Neodiprion lecontei: one gene and its partner. The protein of the gene in region 1 binds, or shares a complex with, the protein of each later gene. Links are inferred from orthologs where the notes say so. Each region holds a gene or a part of one and is shown in the gene's direction. Other genes may lie near its edges.

Region 1 (3,934 bases):
TCCGTGGAGTAGGCCTACTGAGGAAACTACGTAAAAAAAACGCTCCGGGTGCTTTACCGCTTGCGGTGGTGAGGAAACGAGCATAAGTGAACTTATTTTCAAAGGTCAAATACTAATAAATTGTAGCTTTTCAAATGACAATTTTATTCTAACGTAAATTTAACTCATTGTCAATAAAACTCATGCTTCGATAGTGTGTAACTCATGTGGAATCGTAATACTTTAGGATTTCTCTAGTTTACTCAGAGTAAATTCCATGTGAATACATTTTACTTTTTGATGAATTTAATTTCTTAATACAAGTCAACAAGGTGCACATACCTTTGACAATTAAGAGTTTGGAAATTTCAACATCTTTCTCCCTTGCTTGACCTTTCGCAGTCGACACTACGGAAAAGTGTCGAAATTCCGGATGAAATAGTATCGACTTTTTCGGAAATAAATATTCTCAAACTCGAAAATCCTAATAATCAACACGGGCACTGCCATAAATATATAATAAAGTGGACAGATATACGTAATTATAATCTGGGCCACTTGATAATAAATTTCTGAACAATCTAGTTTGTGGGTCAGCGGACGGAATGACAATACAACCAGCTAATATGAGTAGAAGTTGAAGAAAGGAACCTTGATCATCTTTATATATTTTATTTAATACTTTTGTGATAATGATTTTCTGACTTTCATCGGGGTTGTTAAAGCATGGACTCATACATTAGTAACAATCTAGTCTTACTTAAATTCTGAAAAATATTTTCAAGTAGTACTTTTGCATAGAAAGGTCTAGGATTTCCGCTGCAAATAAACTGTATTTTTTAAAAACCACGAAATGTAACGTCAGTTAAGGAATTATTTTTACATGTCAGCTGCATCATTCTTTCGGAATGAAGATATGAGCGGTGCCTGAAGATAGATATTATTATCCTCAGTTAACGCTACAAGTCTAGTATTAAACATATGTACACAAATTACATAAGGTAGATGTAGGAACAACTGTATATCTTGATCCGTTGATTCACTTCTTCGGGTCTTCGACTATGTCTCCCATCCTTTGCATCAAGAAAAGGTTTCTAACTCTGTTAACAGTAAACCGGGTGCATGTTTATTGTGCGTCTATTTAGATAACATTATTTTTATCGAACCGATGGAGTTAGATTGACATTGCTGAATTGGGTCCAAATGAATTTGCGTAGTTGAAAAGTAAACGACGTCCATATGAGGTTTTATGAAAATTACAGTCTGTTCCCGTTCGTCGTTTCAAAGGCATAATAATATTCGACTCTGCATTATCTGGGCACACGCGGTGCACGATGGTAACATCAGTTCCTGTCGTCCTTATGTACCGACCGCTTGCCGGATTGAGTTGCGATTCCAAGGTAGGACTTGTATATCTTCAATCACGTTTCATTGTTCATGGCGTGAAAAGATTGCCAATATTGTAATTGGCCAATATGGCGTAGACGGACTGTTAGACGGAACTCAATAGCACCATAAATTGCTAAATAGCATATTAAAAAATCGCGTTACATTATATTTGCATTAAGATCACTTTGCAGACAAAATTACCGAATCAAATGGGAATATTTATTCTTACTCATTAACGTACAAAATCATATTTATTCTAGGATTCAAAAATCATGTACCCAACTATTACAAGTTTTTGACGTATCGGAGACTCAGCGAATTGTACATAAACGAAACATAATCAAACATATGTAGGATACACCCGCATATATTACATTTTATTATCGTCGCCAATTTTTCGCATTCAATCAGCAAGTCATCGCGTCCCATAAACTTGTCAATTCGCAAATACAATGGACCCACGCTTACACAGAAGACAAGAGTCTGAAAAAAAGGGCTCGAGCGACTTGGTCAGTGACATAACCTAAATTTTGACACGATACAAGTAAACAAACAAAAAAAAAGAACCTAGAAAAGAACACAAATATTTTAGTACTTCGAAGTATTATCACTCGCTTATTTATCAGTTCCACTAATAATGCATTTAGTTACTTACATCTGATTCTTCCATTACCTCTAAACGCGACGCTACTCTTGCAACGCGTTTCGAGGTAATCGCGGAATCGGATATAAATACCGAGCGCAGCTTAAATAGTCTATACATGAATGATTCTAAAATTTATTCAAAAGGTTCCTGTAATGACAATGCGAAAAAAGCATGTAAAAGAAAGTCGAAAAAAAAAAAAAATGGAATACATGTACTAATTTGTAATTACTACAATCTTGCAGGTCGTAGAATGGCTTAATGATGCTTCTATGAGCACAAGCGAATCCGTAAAATTAACCAATTTGGCCAAAGTTAATGAGTTTTTGATACACAAGGAACCAAAGTTGCTGGATCTATACTTGGACGAAACGTTGCAATTCTCTTTAGATAGGAGTAGCGAAGTTCGAAAACTTATCGCAGGATTTTTGGAAGAAGCTGGGTATTTGCAACTCACCTTTTATTATCATTCATAAGTCAGGATTTTAGTCTATTCGAGTTTTTAAACTCTATTGGAATACTCAGTGATTGTCTCAATGAAAAGAATGAGTACTAATACCAGACTTTATAATAGATTGTTCATTACAATTATCCTTTGCTTATTAATTATGCATTGATTGTTATCTTTACATGAGGAAGCCTAGAATTTACAATTAAAGCTTCAATTTCTGCTGCTGTTACCTTAAACTGGCTGAAACATATAAGAATTAAATTTACAAAAATATTTTTTAACCGTGCTTTGACCATCGTAGGTGTAAACAACCTGACCTGATTCCTCGATTAGTCCAAACACTTGCAAGATTAGTTGGAGATGATGCATCAGCTGTGATCAAACGGGCGCTTAGAGCAGCGGGAAGAATTCTTAGGGCAACATTGAAATGGATATCAAGTGTTGCGATTATTACAACAGACATGGAACTCGCTTGGACACAGCTGAGCAATCTGAAGGTTGCGATAATAAATATGATCGACAGTGACAATGATGGGTAAACAGAAACAAAAATTTTTCTTATTTTATTTTCCATATCTTATGTTCATTAGATGCTGCCAAAGAATATATGCTGATAAAAATTGTAAAACATGAGGCTGCACATGTCTTTTAGGTATTCTGTTTTTTCTTTCATCATTTTACCCTGACTATTTTGGTTACAGAATCAGGACGCAGGCAGTAAAGTTCCTGGAAGGAGTCGTTTTGCTGCAAACATATCCAGATCCTGACGCTCCAAAAAAGCCGGATGACTTCTCCTTAGAAGATATTCCATTAACACTAAAAATAGCTCGGAGAAGAAAACTTGAGGAGGAGGCAAACCATGTTATGGATTTGTTGATTAAATTTCATGGTTCTCCACACGTTAGTAGCGTCAATTTGATGACTTGTATGGGGTCCTTGGCATTGATTGCTAAAACTAGGCCTCAGTTTATGCGTCAAGTAATTCAGGGTAGGTATTTTTTCAGTATGTAGTTTCCTGCTCTCAGTTTGGCTGCAGTATTGTAGTGATAGCAGAGCTTGAAAATTCGAGAATTTTTAGCAAAGTTATTCACACCTTAGGCATTTCTATATTGAAACTTTGAAACAACTCTGATGCTCAAAAATGGTTAAGAACAATACTTAATAGATGAATAATTTTTGGTACCCAGCCTTACAACTCCTACAACATGATCTACCACCAACGCTGTCCGATTCACAAGTAACGAGTGTCCAGAAGCAACTTAAGCTCACGCTATTGGGATTGCTAAAACACCCTGCAAGCATAGAGTTCGCAGGAACGATGGCAAGACAATTGAACCAGCTCGGGGCAAGAGAGCAAGAAATCATGAAGGCCTATCCAAAAGTCGAGGATATTCGTAAGATGAAAAAACGGCAACAGGTAATTGCAATTGGAACTGAGCCTCATCTTACTTAAAAATATTCTGTTTACAAAG
Region 2 (3,575 bases), on another chromosome or scaffold:
ACAATTGATAACAACTTGTTTTTACCATTTCGTATTTTTTTTTAAATTCTATGGAGCTTTCCGCGTAATTTAAAAAAAAAATATATCGTATCTAATTTTTTGCCGAAGTTATGAATTTTTGAAAAAAATGGGAGTCTAATTTGTTATTGTTAATAAAAAATCGAATTTTGCATTATGAGATTCGCGCTTTCGCACAAAAATCTGACTCCCCCTACACAATCCACATGCGAAATTAAAAAAATATCTGAGAGATGACTGATCCGGTTGACGCGGAATAGCCCATATATAAAATAAACTGAGCATTAGTTCGGAGCGACTGTCTCCTGAACCTCGATTCCCCCGTTTTCGGTGCTATTCTTGTCTTACACCCGCAGCTGATACTGCTATCTCTTTCTAGCGATCTTGGGGTGGGGATATGTGGGATGGCACAACCTGCAACTGCCCCTCACTTGCTTTTCTCTTCCCCTCTAGCGCTTGGTTCCCCCACCATGGGCGGTATTTGAGAGATGAGTAGGGCGGAAAACCCCATAAGAGAGAAAGAGACAGCACCAACACCGATAGGCGTTCAGAGGACGAGGGAAATATCCGGCATGCTCAGTCTATTATGTATAAGTGGTATAAGTCTATGTTTCTGACCCAACAACAAATGCTTCCGAAACCTTTCCGAGTCACTATCTCAATTATTTGAGATTCTAACCTCGAAAATTCGTATCAACTACGTCGCCGCCAGAAACAGTTTAAATAAAACTCGCGCATGCGCAGTTGATTTCCAAGTTTCGACAGATTGTCCCGGTATATCGCTATGGCTATCCTTGTCTCCTCACTCGGCAGCACCCCCACCGCTCCCATGCCCAATCCTTTCCGTATGGTCTAAGGGGTCTAAGGTCTGCGCTTGTACGTCGGTTTTCTACAGTGACGTTCGCAGTCAGTAGGGCAGTCCAGGGCAGTCACGTAGGAGACACGAAGGTTGAAGGGTGTCGTGGTTGATTCTTTACTGATATTTGGTGGTTGAAGAAATTTTTCTACGGATGTTGAAACCTCAGTAGAAAGCTTATTCAAACTCGCAAATTTCAAAATAGAAATTTCTTTAGTTTGAATAATCGTACGTGAGAATCGTTCAAGTCATTGATTTTGAGGTTAAGTCGGTTAACCTCGCATTCCTCCACAACTCTAATCACGCTTTGCGTATTCCCGCAAAAGCAATGCCGGCACAAAATACGATAAGCATCGCAGTCATATGTTCGAGTAATATGAACAGAAGTATGGAAGCTCATGCATTTTTGAGGTAAACTGATTTCTATATAAATGACTCAATGTTGAAGTTGGAGCAACCCTACAGCTCTATATAATTTGCTAATTCTCACATCAAGATTTCAACCTTGACTCATATCGTAAACACTTGTATCTGGTGCAGTTATAAAGAAAAATATTTTATCATGTTTCAGCAAAAAGGGATTTAATGTAAAGTCTTTTGGCACTGGGGATAAGGTAAAGTTGCCAGGAAATGCTCCTGATCGTCCAAACATTTATGATTTTGGCACATCGTACGAAGAAATTTACAACGACTTGCTGACCAAAGATAAACAATAGTATGTTTTTAATTTGAACTATTTATTGTGGCTAATATTTAAGCCTGTAATTAATTTCAGTACCTTTTCCGCAATGAAAAGTTTCACGTGCAATACATAACTTAATAAATCAATAATTTTTCTTAATCACAATTTCAGTTATACGCAAAATGGGTTACTTCACATGCTGGATAGAAATCGTCGGATAAAACCGAGACCTGAACGGTTTCAACTTTCCAAGGACAAATTTGATATTCTAGTTACATGCGAAGAGCGTGTTTATGATCAAGTCATCGAATGCATGGAAGCGAGAAGCCATGAAGATAATCAGCCCGTCCATCTTATCAACATTGATATTCAGGATAATCATGAGGAGGCCACGGTCGGCTCGTTCCTCATTTGCGAACTAGTCACAGTGGTAATTTTACTTTTTCAATATTCTTCCTAGAATCAGGGCTTGTTTTGTTGAGATAAATATTTGTTCAATGTATTTGTGAAACATATTGAATTCAACGCAATAATTGTTGAAATAGATCTCTGAACTTTTTAGTCTTTGTTACTTGTTATTATTCAAGTTGCAACAGTGCTGATTTTTTCTGTAAGAGAATAACAATTCAATGTTACAGTTATCCAACAGCGACGACCTGGACAACGACATAGATGAACTGCTTCATGATTTCGAAGCAAAATGTGCACGGCCCATATTACACACTGTGCTGTTCTACTGATTTCTCAAAATTTAACAATTTTGACAACTCGTCTTAGAGTCTATCAATCTTGAAATTAGATTATAAATTAATGTAAGTTAGGAATATTTAATTATAGAACTAGTGACTTTGCTACAGGGCTTACGTATCGCTTTAATAAGGAGATTGGTCAATCGATGAAATTATCACCATTTATAATTCAAAAAAACATAAAAATTGTATTTATTCGTTAAATACGGAGTTATTAGAAATATATTATGAAAACATTGTATAATTTATCAAGTTCCTATTAACATCTGTATATTTCAATTGCCTGTTGATTTATATCAATAGGTATCAAGTGATGGGAAGTAAAAATTAGACTTATAACAACATGTATGATACAATGCTCTGCAAAGAGCGTTTAATTGTTTATCCAAGTGTTATCGAACGTGTCAAAATAAATATATTTGTGAATAAAAAATTCATTACACGCTTTCAAATTATTCATTTATTATAATTAACAAGATTTAATAAACAACATTTTAAAATAGAGGCAGGGTGTACTAGTGAATTGTATTTATACCTTGACGAAGTACTATATACATTTTTTATTTTTATCAAGCTGCTATTGGGATTACGCTAAGATTCATAGATTGAAATTAGATCTCAAGTATGATCTTCATATTGTAACGTGTCAGAATTCGTCTACTCTATTCACCAGGGTTCGACGCTTTTTGGAACCCGAAATTCCCTGACTTTTCCAGGTGTTCCAGCCTGAAAATAGAATTTTTTTTCAATAACCTTCCAAGAAATATGCCGCTGATTAATGACAATTTTTTTGCAAATTAATACTAATACCTTAAATATTACCTAGTAATTAACTTACTGTCCGACTACTAATTTACAAATAACAGCCAGCAATTTTCAGTAATAAAAAAAACGAAAGGAGGTTTGATATCAAGTAATGTACGTATAAGAACGAGTTTATTTCTTCAAGAAATTTAAAATTCCAGTCTTATTTTCAAAATTCCCTGACTTTTCCCTGCTGTAAGAAACTCCTTGAGTTTTCCCGGTTTTCCCGGTTTTCCCTGTGCGTACGAATCCTGTTGACGTAATTTGATCGATTTATTCCACCGATTGACAAACAGATGAGTGTGCGTGGCAACAGTTCCCCATGATCTTTTAGAGTGGCTACTAAATCTCCATCACAAAATTCCCTCACTTTTCCATATTTCCCAAACAAAAATCCTATAATTTTTCCTGACCAATTCGGATAAATTGGCTATAGAAAATTACAAAATTGGTACAAAAAAAAAAC

What was found.
Region 2: the proteins of symplekin (region 1) and RNA polymerase II subunit A C-terminal domain phosphatase SSU72 are in contact, whole or in part, in a crystal structure (PDB 4YGX), measured with the Drosophila melanogaster proteins. The link is inferred for Neodiprion lecontei from reciprocal best matches to the Drosophila melanogaster genes Sym and Ssu72. Residues at the interface, in NP_649580.1 of Drosophila melanogaster: Glu91, Ala117, Lys121, Gln125, Gly128, Ser129, Glu169, Asn170, Asp171, Gly172, Thr175, Asn176, Lys179, Phe180, Arg198, Ser240, Ser241, Val242, Ile245, Ala246, Ser249, Thr281, Ser283, Gln284, Ser286, Ser287, Lys290, Met294, Gln295; in NP_001285455.1 of Drosophila melanogaster: Glu114, Tyr117, Asp118, Val121, Met122, Glu125, Glu128, Ser129, Val130, Asp131, Asn132, Arg133, Pro134, Asp168, Asp170, Asn171, Asp174, Gln178, Glu181, Val187, Ile188, Leu189, His190, Ser191, Val192, Phe194.

What each region holds. Positions count from the first base shown.
Region 1 is NC_060261.1:29,147,645-29,151,578, forward strand, and holds the start of symplekin, read left to right. Parts: upstream 1-1,444; 5' UTR 1,445-1,820; coding exon 1,821-1,877; intron 1,878-2,256; coding exon 2,257-2,453; intron 2,454-2,763; coding exon 2,764-2,997; intron 2,998-3,163; coding exon 3,164-3,450; intron 3,451-3,649; coding exon 3,650-3,879; intron 3,880-3,934. UniProt on the Drosophila melanogaster protein: Component of a protein complex required for cotranscriptional processing of 3'-ends of polyadenylated and histone pre-mRNA. Involved in germline stem cell transit amplification, differentiation and mitosis-to-meiosis transition.
Region 2 is NC_060263.1:35,824,646-35,828,220, reverse strand, and holds RNA polymerase II subunit A C-terminal domain phosphatase SSU72, read left to right. Parts: upstream 1-875; 5' UTR 876-1,202; coding exon 1,203-1,285; intron 1,286-1,445; coding exon 1,446-1,589; intron 1,590-1,727; coding exon 1,728-1,986; intron 1,987-2,194; coding exon 2,195-2,296; 3' UTR 2,297-2,760; downstream 2,761-3,575.